4 linked regions of the Schizosaccharomyces pombe genome follow. Changing the gene in region 2 together with the main gene of any one other region gives a genetic interaction. Each region holds a gene or a part of one and is shown on either strand. Other genes may lie near its edges.

Region 1 (4,700 bases), on a different chromosome or scaffold from region 2:
TTTTTTTTTAGCGGGAACCAATTCCCTTTGGACCATACTATCGTAGTCATCAATGGATCTGGATAATGACAGAAATGAAGCTGAGATCTGGCCTAAATTGATTTGCATTAGTCTCATGAATAACTTGGTTAAAATAAGTACCATAATTATTCATCTACACATACCCTGAATTCCAGCTAACGATATAGTGTTGCTCTCATCTTGAACACCACGTTCTAACTCATCGAGGCTTCGCTGAATGGACTGAAACAACTTTGTACACTAGCGAAATACAAATTAATATGTTTTCTAAAACTTTAGGAAGTTACATACGTGATTATAAAGAGTATTGCTCATTCTCTTGCCGTAGTTGGTTCCAATATGAGGGTAATTTATTTTCTTGTCTTTGATATGACAACACATGTAGCAAGTAACACGTTACTTGAATGCTATATCAAAATTGTAAATAGCTTAAAGTAGCAATTTATTTCTATACATTGTAAATACAGTTTTATAAAAAAGAATGCGTTTTTTTACCCAAAATTCATATTAAATGTAAATCACTATTGAGTTCAATTGTATTTTGTTGAACCCCATTTGAAAAATCTAATAATTCCATTCGTAATAACGAAATGTATACAATATCAAAAAGCGAAATTTTATAGGGGTCGTGTCTGATGCCAGCATTCAATTCGTTATGAAAGACGACGACGCCTAGAAGAATGTCCCGATGAACGTGGACGAGCTCGGGGCTTTTTCCAATAATATTGTTTATGTACACGACGTGAGGATCTTACTGGTCTCATTAATGGAGCATATCTCATACGCCGTTCTAAATCATCATCCACATCTGGGTTATAAAACCATTCACTCCACAATGGATCACCATTAGCATCAGTTCCGTAACGTTTAACCTCTTCAAAGTAGGGGTGCTTGGCTGCCAAGTCTCGAAGCTTGTCCTGAATTAATTGAAGTGGCATATTGGAAGGAAATAAATGCGAAAGTGCAGGAAGGGGAGTAGTTGAAGTTGTTGAGAAAACCAATTCATCTAAAACCAATCCTAATAATAAGCTATCGGGAGCTGAATTTTCTTTTGTTGATTCTGAGTAATCATGGCTAGAAGGGAGGGATTCATTACTGTCATTAGTGTTCTCATCAACAGCAGAGATGCTTTCGTAGTCTTCAGGTTCCTTCTTTTCCACAACTGCTGAACTCAATTCAGGAGCCATTGGCTCAACTTCGTTCACTGGGGAATCATTTGAAGTTGTAATATTAGAATTCTTTGAGTCATCATTATGGTTTGTAAAATTAAGTTCAGAGATAACGTCCGTTAGTCCAGCGGACGATTCATCAATTTGTATAACGCTATCCCGTCTTACTGTTATAGGCTCTTTTGACTCTTCAATTGGAGTGTATTCTTCACCTTCACTAATTTCCTCATTTTTATCAAGATCATCACTCTCGATTTTTTCGTTCTCAAAAGAAACCTTAACTTCTCTTAAAACGATGTTATTATCATCAGTGCCATTGAGTAAATCGTCGGTGTTCTTTGGGAGAAAAGATGGTTTTAATTGTGTATTTTTGGAACAATCAGACTTTTCCACCTGACCATCTTTTTCTAAGGCAAGAAGCTTTTGTAACAAATCTTTGGATGGAGGAGGATATACTAATTCGTTACTACGCAAGTTTAGCTTAGGAATGGATTCGGAATTAGTGTACAATATGAGATGATTCTGATCGTTTTGATAGTCTTGAGAAGGAGGTGATGAAGGCATCAAAGGTAAAGCTTCTTGAGGTGAAGGAGACATAGGTTCACGATTTTCTTCATAATTTTTAGCATTAAGATTTCCTTCCCATTCATCTTCAGAATCACTTGGCCAACCAAGAAGAACTCGGTAACCGAATACATCCAGTACAGGACAAGCATCCGAATTCGGTCTTACCAGGACAATCCGATCATTTTTCTTCATGTGGAATACTGACTTCCTCATTTTATCAGACACAATCATCCCATTCCAACCCACGCACTCAATAATCATGCGGTCTTGTGTACAAGTTACAATAGCATGTACACGAGAAATTGCTTTATCAACCGTGGATAGGACATGGTCACATTGTTGACTAGAACGGCCAATTTTATTAACGCGATGTGAACGCATCCGTACAAAAGACATTGGAGAAAGTGGCTCTCTTCTCACTGCAGAAGCAGGCGAAGAGGGGGCATAGAATGTATTACTAGATGGCTCAGGCGTGAGGACGAATTGGCCTAAATTAATATTAGTAAAAGTTAGATTCAAGTCAATTGGTAAAGAGGCATGATTCTCTTTTGGTTTACACAGTTTTCTTAACTAATCACCGTGGAATCAACCTTACCCAATTGAGGCTTCTCAAAAGTCATTGATTGATTTGGATGTTTTGAGAGCCAACTTTTCTTGTGAGAAGCCATAGGCGATGAAGAGGGAATTGGAGAAGGCAGTAGCACATTTTGGCTAGAAATGTTCATACTGGCCAAAGGAGTATTCAAACAATTAAGGTTGAATTGTAACGCGAAGTATTGTCGTGATTTAAAGAAGGAATGAATTTCAAAATAACATAAATCGATTATTGTAACAAAACAAGGCAAGATTACAAAAGATCCGTGATCAAGGTGCCTTGTTTCAAAAAGTGTGAACTAGAAAAACAAAGAGTGTATATTAATAAAGGAAAAAATAGAAGCACGAATTAGTAATTTTTAGGTTAATGCCTGGGTATAAACACGCTATGATGTTCGAGCTTTACACCAAAAACAAAGGTTAAACAAAGCTATGTTTCATGCAAGACGAGAAGAAACGAGAGTAACCCAGTGCACAAAGATTTTTTTCAAATTAAATGAGCGTATTCTTCTCTAAACCCTTTCTGTGTTGAAAGATTGGTTATATAATTTACATTTTGCCTGAGATATGTGTTTATATATGATGGATGGTCGCGCGTCGTGCCGAGCCGCGTCGCGACGCGTTTTATTGATTTTGAAGCGCGATGTCGAAAAACGCGATTTCAAAGGGAGCTTGTTCCTTGAGGCTAAAGTTCAAGGCACAATAAAGGTGCATGCATATCTGCGTATACTGTTTGGTAGTAACAAAATTTTAAACACAAAGAATAATCCAGCAACAGTTATCTGTTGTAAGAAACAAAGAATGATGCTTCACCGATGATAGGGAAGCCAGTGTACGTTGACTTATATTAGCGTAAGAGATTCATTAGAAGGCTGGGATCACATTTGACCAAATGAGGTAGGGAAATAACATGTTTAGGTTCCTGGCGATAGTATTAAGTCCGGTAGTTTTCACAATACTTTTAAAAAAAACCACTTTTCTTAATATTTAACAAGATTTTGAATGATTATTGACTTTAAATATTTTGTATTATGAAATCCTGAAAATTTTTAATGTTTTGGCAATGTCATTGTATACTTGAGTGTCAACTAATAAATAATATGAAAAGTTGTTAATTATATTCGTGTAATTTATCAATGGTGCTCCTCACTATGAATTAAGCAGATAGGTAATATTGTTGCTACCCTCCCATATTATGTTTAATTAATTAAACGATAGTCTCGGTTAAATCCATTAAGGTCCAAAATCAGAAATCTGCTAAAATTCGCGATTTATTTCTTTTTATAGATATCGTTTAATTAATACATCCCACTCAACTCGCAGTTTGACTCAGAGTTAGTATGCAACCCACTAAAAGCACTACAATGCGTTGATACTATTAGGAGTTATTAAGATATTTATCCATTTATACATTCAGCAGTTTAAGTCGACGCTACTAAAGTTTGCGTATAGTGTAAACAAATTTGTTGGATTATTCGAATCGATGATGTATGTAATACTGGACCACTATTTGTAGTTCAGCAATCGAACACATTAAATTGCATTACCTATTAAATATGCTGATCTTGCAAATTAGAATTCTCTGTCAAATTATTCACTTCCCTTTTTTGTTTAAGCTTTACCAATTTTGTGCATCTCGTTCTTTTGATACTCCACTTCTCGTTAATTGTTTAGCAAAACAGAGAACAAGGATGAGTTTGTGAAATAGTGTAATACAGCGAATGTTTACGGAAATTACGCTAACATTAAATCGAATAAGGGTTCGTCTAAATACTGATTGCATTCAGACATTTTTGGGGCAGTTAAATCTGTAGATGGAAAAAGTGTGCGTTCTTATACGATTTAAATGACCAATTTTTTTCATGACTAATTCCAAACAATAATTCAACTAGCCGTTTATTTTTATATAATAAACAAAGTTCGTAATAATTCAGCTATCCGTCCGATTTACGTAAGTGTCGATTCACTCATACCACAATAGAACGAGTTTGATAAATTACCATGTCTTAGTTTCTTCAAAGGAATACTGAATATCCTTCATAAATACGAAAGATCCAATGCAATGTATTAGTCACACATCATCAATAATTTGGTCGAAGCAAAACATCCAACTTTAGCGTTCAGGGTAATATACATTGCTATTCTCAGCTTATAATATTCTAACGCAGTTTTCAATTCGTAAATGTTCCAAAAAAGTTCTCAGAACTTTCGAGTTGAATCAAGAACTACATGGAAGCTCTGAATACATCCTTTTCTATACATATTTTATATTTATTTGAAGTATATATATAAAATAATATTCTTTTCTTGTATGTTTATTTTATGAAAAGTTTATGGTACTCTCTTTCC
Region 2 (5,705 bases):
AATGCATTGTAATACATCCGAAATACGAGGCGTTTAGATCTCCTTGTTCATTTGCATATTTGTCGCTATTCAATCCAAATAAACACGATCTTGTCGATAACCCTACTTTCCGTTGGCAGACAATATATCCTTTAATACCTGGAATTATAGAATTCATTAGAAACTCGTGGTCTGACGCTTGCCCAGTTGTTAAAGATGGATCCAACTCTCCGTCTGCTTCAAAAGTTTGTAGAACGGTTTTATCGATGCTTGGATTGTTTACTGAACAAGTTTTCAGTGTAGCTGATGAACCCAACAATCATAGGAAGAAAATATCTCAAGTTTTAAGAAAAATAAATAGGGACATAGAGTTGATAAATATCAATTATGGAACAGATTCCGAATGGAGAGGTGTATTGAAAGGATACGATAAATTGCGCGAGCGTGCAGTGGAATTGGATGCATTGGAGAACCCGGGTAAATGAAACTGACTCTATATGTTTCGTTTTAAATGGGTCCTCGCATTGTTTTAATTTAAGAATTTGGTTTGAGGGGTTATTTATGTTAAGTGGTATAAACAAAATTGATATTAACGCATAAATAAAATTAATTAAATAGTAGGGTGTATCCCCCCTAATTGATTCACCATAATAATTGCTGCAGTATACAAGTCTGAAACATTCTCAGTAATAGCCCCACCAATGAATTGTTTATTTGCAAGTTTCCACGGAGCCGTTTCTCCTGCGCGTATACTGTTATTATATTTGAACTGAGACTGCATGTACACACTTTGTATACTTAGACTGAAACAGGATTCTATAGGTTTGCTTTCCTTGGATCTGTCGAGACAAACGAAGGCTTCTTTGGAATTAATAGATGACGGGCTAATGTCATAGCTCTTAACTTTTGAACATTTTAATATAAATTCTAGAGAGTGAGGGAGTAAATTTTTGTTAAAAGGTACAGAGTTTTCATTAATTCTTGTGACCGAATGAATTATTACTCTGTCTTCCATATTTCCAAAGACTAACAGTAAATCCTTATTTACGTTTCTAGTCAACTGATTAGTCGAAGCTTTCAGAAATTGACATACCTAAATCTAATACTTTTGGAGAACTCTGTAAGTATCGCATCATTTAAAGGGACTTTCGTTTCGATACGTAGACGGGAATCCCATAAGCTATAAGTCATGATTAGTTGTTTTTTTCCTTAAAAACATTCATAACATACGCTAAAGGAAAATTGATAGTGCAAGTAGAAGATTGCTTAGAATCTTTATAAAACGCAAACTGATCTAACTTTGAAGAACAAATCATCGAAAAAAATACAGTGGAATCCTCTGTCTTGTTTCTCTTATCATCTGTAAATAATAAACTTCCCTTGAAAACAAAGTAATTCTTTGAATCTAATACTTCATGCTCTATTAAAGGATAAGTATACTCAGTACGTCCAAACAAAATTTTCACAGGAGTATTCAATAATGAATCGATATTCGAAACTGATTTGGTAATGCTTTATAAAAAGGTTAATATAACATATGAAGACTCAACCTACCAGTCTGCAAAATATGATCGGGGAAGATTCAAATCCTTATATATATTCATAAAACCATGTGAACAAGCCGACACATCTGATGAGATATTTGGATATAGTATGACGCCAAACCTGTTGGATTAATATTTATTCAAAAATAAACGCATACTCTAAATTCAATTCAATTTCACCTGAAAAGGATTGAAGTACATGCAAGCTAAACAAAGTGTTAGACTTATGTTTACATATTTAGTCAATACCACAGACCTTCTAGATAACCATCTGTGCAATGATTTCAAATTCATGTTGTCAATCTCTTCGTGATTAATGTATTTTTCAGAGCATACTATTTTTGGTTGAAATAAGTATAAGCTTCCCACACCGTAGCTTGATACCGGATTGGAAGACATTAGAATTGTATAATAGTTGTCACCAAGGTCGTCCATTTTCTCATCTTGTAAACGTAAAAACTTCATGTCAATTGAAGGAGTTAAGCTGCCAGATTTTGGAGTGGAACAATCTGATCCTTTGTCAAGCTCTAAACATTCTACACTTAATAGGTTTTTAGACTTTGAATCGTCGAAATCCAATTTTGCGCAATTTTGTCGCAAAGATTTATGAACATCATTAGCGTTAACTTCATTAAATTCATTTGAATTGACCAATTGAAAAGTCTGAGACTGTTTAGTTATTGCTTCGTCAACAGTATTACCATCCGAAGAAACAGAATATCTAGTAACCAGCTCTTCTTCAGGTTCCAATGGTAAAGTATTGCTCGTAGGTCGAGGAGGAAGCTGAAATTTGAACCGAGGAGGCTGCTTGCTATTAGACTTATTAATTGAATGCTCAATTGCAGTTGTTTTATCTTGGAAATGGGTCAAAGATGAAGTTCCTAAAATTTGCTTATCAATCGTGGGTAATTTATTCAACTTGTTCATAATCATTTCTTCAAAATTTGACGGATTATTCTGGTTAACAACAGGATCAACTGCTCTCCTTCCTTGATGAATTGAATTATCAGATAATTCGGTTGACGAAGAATGAAAATTTGACGGCTTTTGTAAGACTGGGATCGACAAATTGGATGAAGTTTTATTTAACTCGTAAAATCTGTGCGCTGGTTTCGGAGAAGAGAAGTTTAAAGAAACACCTGCAAATATTTTACATCCTATCAGCTTTATATCATCAGAAAATATTTTAAAATTATCATTACAGGGAGGGGTTTTGGAAGGATTTTTAGCAAAAACTGGTACCAACTCATAAGAATCACCATCATGTTTATTTCTCAATAATCTCATAGTATAAAAAGATCCAAGGATATTGAAAACGCTTTTGAAAATAGATGTCGTATGCATAGCTGTGTATAAAATCTCGTTTTCAAATTTTAATTTTAGAAATTTCAGTTGGCAGGGTGCAATCTTTCCTGCATAAACAAGAGTTTCTTCAGGATATTCATAGACTTTCTGGGACACTAAATTCTCTATATGCTTCATTTTCTCCAACATAGCATTAATGTCCTGATCGTTATTGGCTAATACAACTATTTTCTAGTCAAAAGTTAGGATGGTAGAAGTATCTTCACAAATACATACATTATCTTTTAAAGAAGCCTTGTATTTTGTGTTGGTAGCATGCGCAAACTCCTTGAGCAAATCATTATTGTCGGGAAGGTAAAATAATCGCTTGAAACTCCCGTTGTAAACAGTAGGCGAATAAATGACCTGTTTAAAATTTCCTTCCCATTCAAAAGGAGTAATGATTTTAGGTTTTATCAAGCAAGGAATATAAAAATCGGAGGATGTCGGTTTCTTGCCCACTTTAGACTTAACAATGTCCTCATTTTCTTTTATTTTCACATCTTCAATACCGTATCCTAAGTCTAAGTACCTTTGAAAATTCAATAAAGTAGTAAAATCATAATGCAATTGCCCGAATGGATGAATATCTAGGCGTGGTTTCTTGTAAACAGTTGATTCGCGCTTCAACTTTTGAACTATTTCCTCAAAACTAGCATGTTAATTAATATTTAAAATAATATTTAGGATGAACGCATGGAACTTACAGACTAAACGCTTCTCTTTTGTGTTCCTCGTACACTATGACTTTGAATTGCTGAATTATTAGCGTCAATAGCTAGGATATATAAAATACCTGAGATGAAGAAGAGTAAGAAATTTTTACTTTTCCATTATATTCAGAACTATATCATCAGTAATAGTCCATTTGCGCAAAACCATACTTTATACAATTTGTGAAGGAGGATATAAATTCAGCATTTAAAAGCAACGCTGTATCGATATAAAATTTAAAAAATCCTAATATTAGCAAAAGAATGATACACATTGACTTACCAGATTGATTGTTTGCAGATACTTTACCCATCACTCATTTCATCGAGCTTACAGATGGTACATGCTATATGCAGCTTCAGAATATAAGTGAAGTAATATGAATTCATTAGGAATATAAAGCTTTATGAATTATCAGAAGAAAAGAAAAATAATTAAATCTATAGTTCCTTGTATGTAGGTATTATAATTGTGATAAAATTAATGTTAACGTACTTACAATCGAGAGCTGAGTATTTGAATTATAAGCTGTAATGATTCATTAAAGGTTAGAAACACTGTAAACTAAAAAATAAAACTAAGACAATTGTTAAGAAACGTATTTTGTTTAGCGGACACTCATTTGTAAATAAAAATGTGTTGTCTTATCAACTAACTTAATGCCTCCCAAAGCTAGGAAATCATTAACCAATAAATATCTGAACGTAAAGTAGAAGCTTCAAAGTTATTTCTATAGCCCCAACATTTCTAGTAGAGTCAATAAAATCCTTAAACCAGGAAATAAGGCACCCTCTCCTCCAATTAAGTATTAGTCATTATTTCAAAAGCAGATGATGAGATGCAATAGGAGTTCATGAACATCATTCCCTCTCAATTTCTACGAAAAGTTTTTTAATCATCAGAAATAGTTTTTTCGAATAATTGGCTTCTGATTTCGTCCTCCAATGACGCTTCCTGATTGTCATTGTTTAAAGAAGGAAATGAAACCCCTCTGAGAAGAGAATTAATTTTAGCTACCATGGTGTTCGTACTGTTGAGGGTTGATATCAATTCAGGGTTTTTCTTCCACATATTCGTATGTATTGAAGAAGGCCCATCTTCAAAAGGTTCCAACATTTTTTCGATTTGCTCAAGTTCAGAGCGCTCCTGTTCTAATTCTGACAACGTTGTTAATAGACCAAGTAACTCTCCCGTAAGACGATTGAACTTCTCTTGCTCCTCATCCTTTTCGACAGGTCGGGATTCTTTTTGAAAAGGCCATGGATGGGGAAGTGATTTTACACTGTCTAAATTGCTTAAATCAATTTCTCCATAAAATAATGGATTTAAAAAGGTAATGTCCTCAATAGCGCTATTTTGTTCATATAACTTTCGTATTTGAGCGGCAACATGCTGAGTTGCTTGATGTGAATAATTTAGCTTTGCATGCTTTTGGATACGAAGTTGCAATCCTGTTTTGGTTAATAATAATATTTTGAACTTTTTATTTGTAGGAGAAATCCAGACAAAAGCATGGAACACGTACGTTGGAATACAGTTTCAACGACTGATTCTGAAAGCTGACCGGATTTTAAAGGAAGTTTCCAATCCTTTGGAGGGCGCATAGGTCGGTTCAACAGCCGTATCTGTCGTTCCATGAATGATTTTTTATGTTCGTAAATATCCATTTAGGAAGTAAATTTGATTTAAATCAAGATTATCAGGATTAAAATAAAAACAGTTGAATACTGATCGAAAAACAAGTCAATATGGTATTGAAATTAACAAAGCAAGTTCACGCAAAGGCAACAAACTAACAGCGACTTTTGAGCATATAGACGTCTTCAGTGTAAGCACTTCCAAAATTAATTACTTAACAAAAAAAGACCAAATCAATCAGACCTTGGCTGATGGTTGATTAATGACAAATTTTGAGAAAGTTACAGGAGACTAAAGAAGTCGAAAAGTCGAGCGACTAAATAGAATACTTTGAATGATGTTAAAATGAAGATTTTATGTACATAATCATTAAGCTAGCTCCTTAGAAAGGACTCGTCTAATGCGAGTTAAAAAATTAGTGCATATATCAGTTCTAAGATATAGCGAAGAGAGTAATATTCTATGAAGGATGAACCCTAGAGTATA
Region 3 (6,918 bases), 1.2 Mb from region 2:
TCAGACCTTGACAAAATGAATGAAAGTTTTAAGATCAGAGATACTTTTTCACTATAAAATTCTTCATGTCAAGGATTATTATAATCTCACTCTTTCTTACTCGGCGTCGATGATTTTCGGTTCAATAAAAAAAAACAAATTGTTGATTAAAAAGGAATAATAAAAAAGAACGAATCTTATTCTAACTCGCCTACATTTGTTATTATTTACCTACTTTTTTTCTGATATTTACTACTACATGCCCTTTTCAATAATTTGGTAACTCAAGTCACATGTTACTTCGATAACTTTTATGAAATTGTCTTCGTTCATCTTCAACCATTAGTCCCTTACGACTTAGTTGATGAATTTTACTTGAAGTTTACGATACTATTTAATTAGTAAATTTTTCAATCAATAGGAAAAACAAGAAGTTTTCTTATGGAAATGATAATATAGTTACAACTTGACTGACGGCATACTCCTTTCTGTATAAAAAACATAGTTAAGGTCTATTGATAGAATTTTTAATGTGTTTATGATAATATTTTTATTTATTAAAGCGAAATCGAGTTATTAACTTCCTTTTTTGTTCTGATTCACTGTTCTTTTGCATCTAAAATTAAATTTCTTTAAACTCCTTTCGCCGGAAGAAATTCAATCCCTTCGAGAACTATTTGCTTTCAAATCAAAATTTATTTTTGAAAATTTATTAAGTTTCACTTGTTGCAGTATGAATTCCGTTCCTAATGAATTGACGAAAAGCCAAGAGTTGTTTGGACAGATCTCCAAGATATCCCATTCGAAGGTAAGTTAAATCATTTCTATAGAAGCATCTTGTTTTCCTCTCTAACAATGGTTGCAGATTTCCATTTCCGAACTTATCACTCTCCTTGACATTCATTATAGTGAGCTGTTTACGAAAAACCCTTGGATGAAAAAAGAAGTCCGAAAGTTGGCTTCGGAATTTGTGGAGAATGATCCCAATCACCTTTTATCGAAACAGGACGCTTGTCATCTTATTGAAGCATTCGTAAACGTTTCTATCACTTCTCCTACATTACTTACCTCAGTGGATCCTGTTCTCTACCAGCAATTAGAGGCTTCAAGCACAAACGATATTTCCACTGTTTTCGAGGATGAGTATGTGATTGTATCTTTATCTTCGTTTACGTACTAACCCTGTTGATACAGAAGTTCCAGTTTGCCTATCATTTTACATCCAAAATTTTCTTCAATGCAAGTACGTACCGTTACTTCCCCTAAGGATGCATTTGTATCAGCCTTTGAGGAGAATAAGTTTCATTTCGCTGCCACGGAGTCCTTTTTTGAGATGGCTTTCTCCAAAATCGATTCATGTCTAACCTCCGTTCAATCTACTAAGAAAGATGTAAGAGCTAAAAAACTGATTCGTCAATTACTAATCTACCAGTCTATTAAATCCCGACTTGTTGAACGCTATATCCAAAATGAAGAATCTGTAAAGCGCCCGGACAAATCTCCATTTGACACAATGACGGAAGCAACTCTGCAAAGTTCTTCAGACAAAAGTGAAAATTTTACAAAGACATTACTGTCGAATGTTTTATCCACAATCCTGTCTGTTCAAGTTATTTTTGCAACAGTCATAGCCCTAATTGCTATATCTGTCTTTTGCTTCCTTCATACTTCTTCAAAAACGACATCCTCAAAAACTCGTCCATCATAATCGTTATACTTTCGGCTGTTCACTTAAATCATCCTGTGTCAAATTCTAGATATTTTTAAGCTATTGAAAAGCCTGTCGTGTTGTATCTTTATCGCGCTATTTGTCGAACTCAGTTCGTGAATATTATTTTCATTAAATCCCTTCTAATGCTTGTCAATATATTAAATGTGACTATTGACAAAAGTTTGTAAAAAAAAGTAGAAACCCTATAAATTTAAGTAAAAGTATAAATATATTAAAACCTCATTATTTCCTTGTCAATCGCATATTAACGTCAAGCAATTCAACAGGATCTACAGAGTGAGTCAGAAAATTAAACTGAAACTGCTTGCTTTTCTTACCATTTACATAAATTGTACCATCTTTGGTAAACAAAGGTAGGTGATCTCCTAGACCTTGTATTGTTTCATCATTCATGAGGGTATTTATTGCGTCCCACCACAAGGGATTCGACTCCGCAACAAGTTGCGCATTTCCAAATATAAACAATCCTCCTGATAATATGTTAATAATTCCTTTCATAAAATCTCACTTACTCCTAGCTCTAGATAAAGAAACACAAACGCGATGTGGGGAGGAAAGAAATCCGACCTCTGTCCGGTCATTGTTGCGCACAAGAGAAAGAAGAACGACATCATTCTCTTCCCCTTGATACCCATCTACAGTCGCGACTTTAATAAAATGTTTTTCTCTATTAAGAGACTCACTTAACAATCGCTCTATTAGATCCTTTTGAGCAGCATAAAACGTTAGGCAGGTAATTTTTTGAGGTTCAACGCCATTATTAATGAGATAGACTGCAAATTGAACTAACATCTGAGCTTCGAATAAATTAATTTTCGAAGCAAAGCCATCATTGTCTTCAATACGAGAATGAGTTAAAAAGAATCTCCTAATTTCGCCCATTCCCGGAATACTAGGCCAATACTTGGTAATTTCATAATCCGATAAATCTTCGTAAACAGAACTCACTAATCTTCGAATCTGGGGATGCATTCCTAAGGTCTGTTAGTAGGAAATTGTATTTAAAATTACTTACTTCTTTGCATTGTCAACCGAGTATATTCCATATCATTTTCAACTAATCGTTCAAACATAGATATTGATAAATTAAATGGATCTTGTCGTAATGCATAAGTTGAACAACCTGGTCTAAGTTGTTTGTGATCACCGATAAGAACCAATTGTTCTAAAGAAGGGAAAACAGCTGGAATAATCGGTCCTTCTAACACATCTGCTGCTTCCTCGATAAAGCAAATTTTTGGATTTATCCTTTCTAATATATCACGATACTTATTTAATCCAGTTGTGGTCATTCCAATTACGTTCGCTCCACGCAAAAGAATGGCTGCGCGTTTGTTTGAAAAACCAATACGCTCGCGGTCTACTTTCAGATAAAATCTATAGAGACGATTGAGTTCTTTTTCGGCAGCTGCATATGCCGATTCTAACCAGCGACAGTAAATGATTCCTCTACTATACTCTGGTATATCCCAAATATTTGGAATAGTGAGAAGGGTATCAATCTCCTTTTCATGAAGTGTTGTTAGCTTTGAAAATAGATATTTGCATCTTAAGTTAATAAATTTCCCTCTCAATTCCTCTTCCATTAAAGCACCACTGTCTTCTGCTTCTTTCTGAATTTCTTCCAGCTTTTCTGGATCAATTTGTAGTTCCTCCTCAAAACCATCCGTAATTTCTGATGGAGTGATAAGCTCCACTTTAGCATCGCCTAACCAGATACTTATTAATTCCTCTTCAGTTTTTTCGCCATTTTCCGCAACAGAACTGATCCACTCAGTGTTGTTACGAAGGGACTCGAGTTGCGAGGTCGTTATAATTCCCTTACTATGCAGATAGCTAAGAGTTACAAATTCAAGGTTGAAATTATGCATAATATTAGTTATTTGCTTGATTAAGCGTTGCTTTTTGTGACGAATCTCATTATAAGCAGCCTTAAATGAATGCTTGGTGTGCTTTGCTTTTTGAAAAATCGTAACCGCTGCAATCTCAGGATCCTTCGTTCTTGAACCTAGTCGCATTACTGAAGCGCCTTGATGCAATAAACGAATCAATATTTGATCGACTGCATGATTCGTTTGGCAAGCTACTAAAATCGGAAGAACATGGGAGTGAGTATTCTCAAGTAATGTTTCTATGGCTTTAAGAGTAACAAAGCTTTTACCAGTCCCTGGAGGGCCTTGAATAATGGAGAGTCTCTTAGTCAGCATGGACTGGTAAGCTTTTAACTGTGACGAGTCTAGTATATACTCGCCAGGACCGAACGGCTCAAGAGCATTTACGATTTTTTGAGAGTTATTTTTTAAGATAGAATTTATGCGTATCCTAGGATTATTTTGTATGTGTTTAGCAGTCTCCTGATTACTTTTACAGTGTACCAAGTAATCCTTCATCGGGAATGTGCTAGCAGAAAGCCTCTGTAATGAACGAAGAACATGCTTGTAAGCTTCCCAATAGCCTGAAGTAGCTTCGATCATAACATATTCTTCTCGAGGATCTAAAGAGATACTAATATCTTCAAATTTGACATCTATTTCATGAGGATGTTTATTAAGGCCACTCAAGGGCCGCGCACAGACAGTTCCAATGCGAAAAGTCTGGAAATCATCATTGCTTAATAAAACTAAAGATCCACTGATAAGACGACGACTGGTAGCCCATTTTATTTTTTTCTTAGCGCGAACACTGAAGGATAATTTTGCAGCTATAACACTGGAAGATATTGTATAGCCATCTATCCGCACATGATCATATACGGCTAACGAAGAGCCGGTAATGTAATTGGGGTTTACCTTGTACCGAAGCACACTTTCTCGTAATGGGGAAACTGCGTCCTCACGTAGCAACCGATAGTGTATAGATAAGTAATCTTCAAAGGACTTGTATCCTCCGTATATGTTGTTTGAAGGTAATTCAACACTCTTTGACGTCAATTCTTCCAACGTTGGAATTGATGGTAGTTCCCGCCAAGAAGAAGTATCGCTTGCGGGATGGTGTTCGTTTTCGAATTCTCTATTTTTTCCCGATGTTATATCATTTCTCTTTACATTACTCAATTCATAATCGTTGTCAATGCTTCTCTTACGACGTATTGACTTGTTTTCTTTTAAATTTTTATCAACTTTGTTCCCCTCCGAGTCTTGGGTTTTGGAGGTTTCAGAAGTCTCGATTTGTTCTGTGAAACTCGTAGTATTATTATCGGCGTTAAAGATGTTGCTATACAATGGGTGTCTTTTCATTTCACTTAAAGTTTCTGGCTCGGGGATTTCATCAAACACAACTTCTGTATTTTTGTTCACCATTTCCCAGGCGTCCAGCGTACTTAACTTCCAAATTTCATCTTGTACTTGTTCCATAATAAAAAAGAAAAGGATAATATCCAAAAAATTTCAAAAGGTTATTGTACTAAAATATCTCAGTACGCGCCCACTAGGTCGTAATATTAATCTCGTCCTCCCCAAAGAAGCTAAAAGATATCATAAATAACAATTCATGTACAGTCTCTGCACCTGTCTCTAATATTATTTGTCTAACATACAAATGGGTTGTTTGTTTACTGCCAAGGGCCGTTTTCTGTCTTTACGTGACCATGCATTTAACGCGTTCAGATAATACCCGCAATGTGCAGCTTAGTGTGCCAGCATAAAGCATGTAAGCATGTGTTAACATCGTTGTAAAGTTACCTTATCGTAGTTTATCCATCCTTGAAATAGATTTACAAACTGAGTAGCTTGCATAGTGATAGTGAGCTCTCTCATTTAAGATTTTTATAACTGTATAAGGAGGGAAATGCTAACTGACCTATAACATAGTACAGTTAGCAATTCGTTAGGTTGCAATTCCTATTAGTACCACCTTGGCATGTAATATTTACCTGGTTTTGTTACAACATTGAGAAAGCGCATTTGCTCAAATTAGTCGAAAACGTTGACTTCTATGTGTGGAAGGAATATTTGGGAAAAAATTTTTAAGATTTAATTATGAAATACATTAATCAATTTATGAAAATATCAAAGGGCTTTTTAGTTCCATCGTCCACGATAGGATTGAATTCTAAAACGTACCATTACAAATTTCCATTACTTTCTTTTGTTAGAGAATTTTCAAATGGATCCTACTTAAGGGAGTCTGCACAAAATCCTGCAAATTTGGGTTCGCAAAAAGGGTCCGACATTTTCTCAATGCTTGCTAACCAGAAGGACGATTCTAATCGTCAGCAAAAGGAAGAGCGTGTAAAAGAGAGACCAAGGTCACGTATTTCTTTCAAAAAACAGGAGACCATGGATCCTTCCTACACCTTACAATCAATGGTGCTTCGCTCCTCTTTAAAGAAAGTCGGCGCTTTGTGTCGTCAAATTGCCCATAAGCCATTTTATCATGCTTTACTTCAAATGAAAATGTCAGATAAAAAAATTTCCAAGTACATCGCAACTGCTTTGGTTTCTGCTCGAGAAAACGCTGTTCGTGAAGCTGGTCTTGATGAGAGTACTCTCTACGTTGATCAAATATGGGTTGGAAAGGCAAAGTATTTAAAGAAACTTATCACTATGGGCCGTGGAGGTCGTGCCATTGAGAGATCTCCACGGGTTCGAGTTACTGTTGTTTTAAGAGATGAGCGAGCTCTCTTGCGCGATTTACAGCGTCGTCAACAAAGACTAGAAAGAAAGAAAGTTTGGACGCCTCTGCCTAACCGACCAATATACCTAAAATCTAACTTTTTCACTTGCTAAGTCATTATTGAGATGCCCATATCTTTGATACTCTAATAATATTTCCCCCCAATATCGTTTATAGTAATTCTAGTGCCGTTTTTTTTTTATGAGAATATGGTTTCCCTTATTATTTATTTCTTTAGCAACGCCATAATTTTGTATTTACCTCTATGGTGCTGATGGTATCAGTAGAAAAATAGTACTGTAAAAAGGTAAACTAACCAACCTGTACATACATCACTTTTAGTTCAATGATACGTTTTCGTAAAGAACGCAATTCTTTTTAAACTGTCTAATCTTATTAAATCATTCATGCAATCGTTTGCCTCATTAACATTTTTCAAATTTGGTTTGAAGCATTGCAACGAGCTTCTTTTTTTGACTTTTCAAAACGTGCTTTGGACCATATGTTGAAGCTATCCATATCTCTTCACCATTTTGACACATATTTATTGGTTCTAAATTCATCAGACACTTTTAAACAATCAAGCAAACCGA
Region 4 (3,450 bases), on a different chromosome or scaffold from region 2:
TACAATGCCTGATTGGGAAATACTAGCTTCTCTATTAATACTAAGACTCTCCGCCCAAACAGTTGATGTAGCGTCAAGGTCAAGTTTAGATGCTTCAACGACTTTTTGGTTTTTAGAATCGTAATCCTCTACAGGATTTAAATCATCTTCTTCAAGAAGGTGTGGATCTATTTTTGTATCAGCTCCCTCTTCGCCATCTACATCTTCCTTCAACGATGAAGATGCAGAAGGGTCAATATTTACTTCAGAGTTGCCGCCGTCAGATTTCTTCTCTTCTTCTAAACCCAACACAGGTGATTCCCTTGATAATATTGGCGGACTTGCCATAGGTATACAAATGGAACGTTTTATGCTCCCAATCTGTTTAATGTTCACGCGAAGTGTTTCTTTCTCTTTGCTCAGATGGTAAGTAACGTCAAACAATGAGCTGTACAATCTAACATAGTGATACGCTACATTACACTCACAATAAAAGTGCAAATAAATACTAGAGGACGACTGTCTATGCTGCTTGTTAGCAGGAACATTTGGTTGTTTTAAAATTGTTTGATTGTCCAGCTAAAATTTAAATCTCTAGTAGAATAAAGGGGAATACGTATGTTTTTTTATGTGAACAGTTTCACCTAACTGGCAAAATTAGAATAGATTGGCGAAATCTTAAAAAAGATTTAAGCATGACTTGGATAATCCTTAAGTAGTTGGGATTGTCTATTATTTTAATGGATTGGAATAAAAATCGAAGACACAGTACAGTTGAGTAGGATAGCATTGAAAGGGTGGGTAAAGAATGATGAACGTAGAACCTTTTCATGATCGTCTTTTGAAGGGTCAGTAATAAATTTTAGCAGGGATCTACAAAAGCTAGTAAATGTGTATTCAGTGGTACCCATTCGTGGGGAAATTCGTTTGCTCTTTTTCAATTACTTCTTTTGCTTTTTCTAAATATTCATTTGCTTGTTCAAGTTCAGGAGTTCCTTCGTATGCACTGTCAGAAGAAATGGATTCCAAGTCGTTCGTCGCATTACGAAGACGTACAAGAGCATCTGGCAACGCCTCAAGATGCTTCTTCAAAACAAATTTCTAGAGGTCCAGAATGTCAGTACTTTGATTATTTTTTATTTTAAAAAAGATACGCTAAAGCGGAAACCACCGAAAAGTATCTTCAGCTTGGTAGAAACATCTTCTAGCACAACACGTCCAACGTTTATATGGTTTCAACTAATGCAACATACCTGATGCTCAATTTCTGCAGAATCTTCCCCATTATCAATTTTACTTTGTACACGTTTCTCGGCCTCGTTAATATCGATATGAGCCAACTAAACAATTGTTGAGGTCAGAAAATTCCATCTACAAAATCGCGATCCAAAAAGGAAACTTACTTCTACATCTTTAATAATTCTTTTAACGACATTAGTTTTGATGACTAAGCTCCTAACAGTATTTGACATGGTAGAAAATAAAATGGACGCGATATGCAAAGGAATAATGTTAGGTTGGATGATTTTCCTTGACTGCAGTGTAGGTAACGTTGGAATACAAAGGAATGCTAATGTTAGCGTGTGGTGATAAGTTACGAGAAACGATTAAGAAAAGCTAGTTCTAGTTAAGTTTTCAATTTCTTTTAAAGCCCTTTCCTTAAATTCCTAAAAAAGGGTATTTGATTAAATGTTTGCATCAAGTATCAGACTAGTTATTGATCGACAAACGTTTCATTCCTATATTATGTATGAGATAAAATTGCTCAGTTATTTCTAAATTTACGATTCACCGATACTTGTACCAAAAATTTCATGCTTTTATGGATGCTCAATCATATGGGAGGTTGAGCTTTTCGGGATTCAGCTATATGAAAATTTTCTAGCGCGTAATTCATTATATTTAGACGTAATTGCTTTTACAAATATTTTCCAAAACAAAAATTTCTGATTCTCCGTACACACAGTTATCTCCCAACAACCGAAATTGTTAAAAGCACGATTTCATATAAGGATAGGTTGATTGCTAATCACTCGAACCACAGTCTGTTAATAATTAGTCAACTTTGCCTAGCCAAAAAAATTCAGCTTCTATCTTAATCCTTGGAAAACAAAAAATAAAAAAAGGACCTAATACCCTCTTTCAAAGTAGATCCTGTACAAGATATTTAGTCTACTCAAAAAGCCGGTACAACGATATTAATGTCAACAGACTTCGGTATAATGGGACCAGTCTTCAATGTGAGGATAATAGCTAAAATCCTTTACTCTATATAGGACTTTAAATGGATCCTTGAATATTATTCTGTTTTCTAAAATGATTGATCATATTCTACGCCACAGATGCATCAAAAATTCAAATCATCGCTTGGGAGATAAAAGAGTGAACGCTTTTTCATAATCGAACAGCAACCTTTCGAACCCTAGTAGTCATTAGTATTTTAATCCACTTTTTTTTTTGCAAAGCTATGAAAAACAAAGACTGCAACCTGGTATAAGCATTTTAAACATATCGTACTTTGCGTGATCTAACAAATTAATCTCTATCTTGTCAGTTCACAACTTTGGACAGATACAGATGATGAATTTCGACAATTAAACATTTGCAAACAAGTCAAAGCTCAACATACAAGCATTCACTGTTTAACGCTTTTTGAACTTTCTCATTTCCTGAAACGTTTGTTTACAAGCTGATATAAAAAAAGGGATTGAATTGAACGGCTCAGTTGATATAGATTAATTTAAAAAGTGAACTCCGTTTAGAAAGTATCGCATAAGTTAAAAAATGGTATTCAAACAAAGCTAACAAAAACGAAACAAATCGCATTTTCCCATGAAAAATACAAGGTTGTTCGGAAAACTGCATATTTGAACATGATGACAGCCAAGAAGAAAAATAGAAGGATTTATTAGAATTCCCTTAAACTTTTCATTATAGTCTTTTCGGTACGGTAACAACCATATATACAATCTATACATTTCTTCAGACCATTCAAATCTTAAAATGGAGCTCCCCTTCAATTGAAGAAACGGAAAATTTTTTCTTGTCAAATTTTTACAGACTACTAACCTACTAAACAGAACCTCATTAGTGGTAAAGTCCATTTTAATACTTCTTGCTTATTAATTCATTATTTTATTGCCGTAAAACATAAATTATCCTTTTATTTTCTTCTTCTTTTCTTCCCTTGTATAATACTCATTTTTCGCCAAGTCTCAAGTATTCCAGTGTTCGATTCCGACCATGGAAACGATCTCGGTCGGGTAAAATGAAGACTCTGGTAGTCTCCAGGCTATTGCATCTCGTTCAGATTTGGGTTGATCTTCTGGAACAATGCGGGCAACTGGTAGAACGTTAATGAGGGAACAGATGAAAAACTGGAAACCTAGATGCGTGACAGGAGAATCTGGTGTTCTTTTTTTTTGAATAAGTATATTTAATAGTTAACAATATCGAACATGGTTTTAGTTA

The links.
Region 1: mutations in ers1 (region 2) and tos4 together harm fitness less than expected from each alone (positive genetic interaction), as found in Schizosaccharomyces pombe (2 studies listed by BioGRID).
Region 3: mutations in ers1 (region 2) and hrr1 together harm fitness less than expected from each alone (positive genetic interaction), as found in Schizosaccharomyces pombe (4 studies listed by BioGRID, with this or other methods).
Region 4: mutations in ers1 (region 2) and alp31 together harm fitness more than expected from each alone (negative genetic interaction), as found in Schizosaccharomyces pombe (2 studies listed by BioGRID).

Annotation. Positions count from the first base shown.
Region 1 is NC_003424.3:1,920,738-1,925,437, reverse strand, and holds tos4 (transcription factor), read right to left. Parts: upstream 2,896-4,700; 5' UTR 2,483-2,895; coding exon 2,353-2,482; exon of another isoform or gene 2,246-2,352; coding exon 675-2,245; 3' UTR 523-674; downstream 1-522. Other genes in the region: SNARE protein Bos1, read right to left, coding at 1-92, 165-261, 313-336.
Region 2 is NC_003421.2:799,386-805,090, reverse strand, and holds ers1 (RNA-silencing factor Ers1), read right to left. Parts: upstream 3,934-5,705; 5' UTR 3,895-3,933; coding exon 3,864-3,894; exon of another isoform or gene 3,828-3,863; coding exon 3,752-3,827; exon of another isoform or gene 3,713-3,751; coding exon 3,664-3,712; exon of another isoform or gene 3,625-3,663; coding exon 3,575-3,624; exon of another isoform or gene 3,552-3,574; intron 3,520-3,551; coding exon 3,105-3,519; intron 3,060-3,104; coding exon 1,780-3,059; intron 1,731-1,779; exon of another isoform or gene 1,730-1,730; coding exon 1,682-1,729; exon of another isoform or gene 1,645-1,681; coding exon 1,534-1,644; exon of another isoform or gene 1,492-1,533; coding exon 1,210-1,491; intron 1,160-1,209; coding exon 1,073-1,159; intron 1,032-1,072; coding exon 590-1,031; 3' UTR 548-589; downstream 1-547. Other genes in the region: rRNA processing protein Ipi1, read left to right, coding at 1-464; protein Fta4, read right to left, coding at 4,473-5,032, 5,107-5,248. UniProt on the Schizosaccharomyces pombe protein: Involved in RNAi-dependent heterochromatin formation and centromeric silencing.
Region 3 is NC_003421.2:2,027,801-2,034,718, reverse strand, and holds hrr1 (helicase Hrr1), read right to left. Parts: upstream 5,260-6,918; 5' UTR 5,065-5,259; coding exon 2,727-5,064; exon of another isoform or gene 2,686-2,726; coding exon 2,224-2,685; exon of another isoform or gene 2,182-2,223; coding exon 2,029-2,181; intron 1,981-2,028; coding exon 1,934-1,980; 3' UTR 1,688-1,933; coding exon of another isoform or gene 1,412-1,687; 3' UTR 1,370-1,411; coding exon of another isoform or gene 1,174-1,369; 3' UTR 1,123-1,173; coding exon of another isoform or gene 845-1,122; 3' UTR 788-844; coding exon of another isoform or gene 713-787; 3' UTR 514-712; downstream 1-513. Other genes in the region: protein Dms1, read left to right, coding at 713-787, 845-1,122, 1,174-1,369, 1,412-1,687; mrpl22 (mitochondrial 54S ribosomal protein uL22m), read left to right, coding at 5,689-6,438. UniProt on the Schizosaccharomyces pombe protein: Has a role in the RNA interference (RNAi) pathway which is important for heterochromatin formation and accurate chromosome segregation.
Region 4 is NC_003424.3:3,375,149-3,378,598, reverse strand, and holds alp31 (tubulin-specific chaperone cofactor A Alp31), read right to left. Parts: upstream 1,494-3,450; 5' UTR 1,452-1,493; coding exon 1,383-1,451; intron 1,320-1,382; coding exon 1,233-1,319; intron 1,081-1,232; coding exon 877-1,080; 3' UTR 699-876; coding exon of another isoform or gene 641-698; 3' UTR 596-640; coding exon of another isoform or gene 578-595; 3' UTR 531-577; downstream 1-530. Other genes in the region: SPOM_SPAC8E11.05C (uncharacterized protein), read right to left, coding at 1-327; SPOM_SPAC8E11.06 (uncharacterized protein), read left to right, coding at 505-530, 578-595, 641-698; SPOM_SPAC8E11.08C (uncharacterized protein), read right to left, coding at 2,781-3,083. UniProt on the Schizosaccharomyces pombe protein: Required for the maintenance of microtubule structures and cell polarity. Beta-tubulin-folding protein; may have a regulatory role in the tubulin-folding pathway.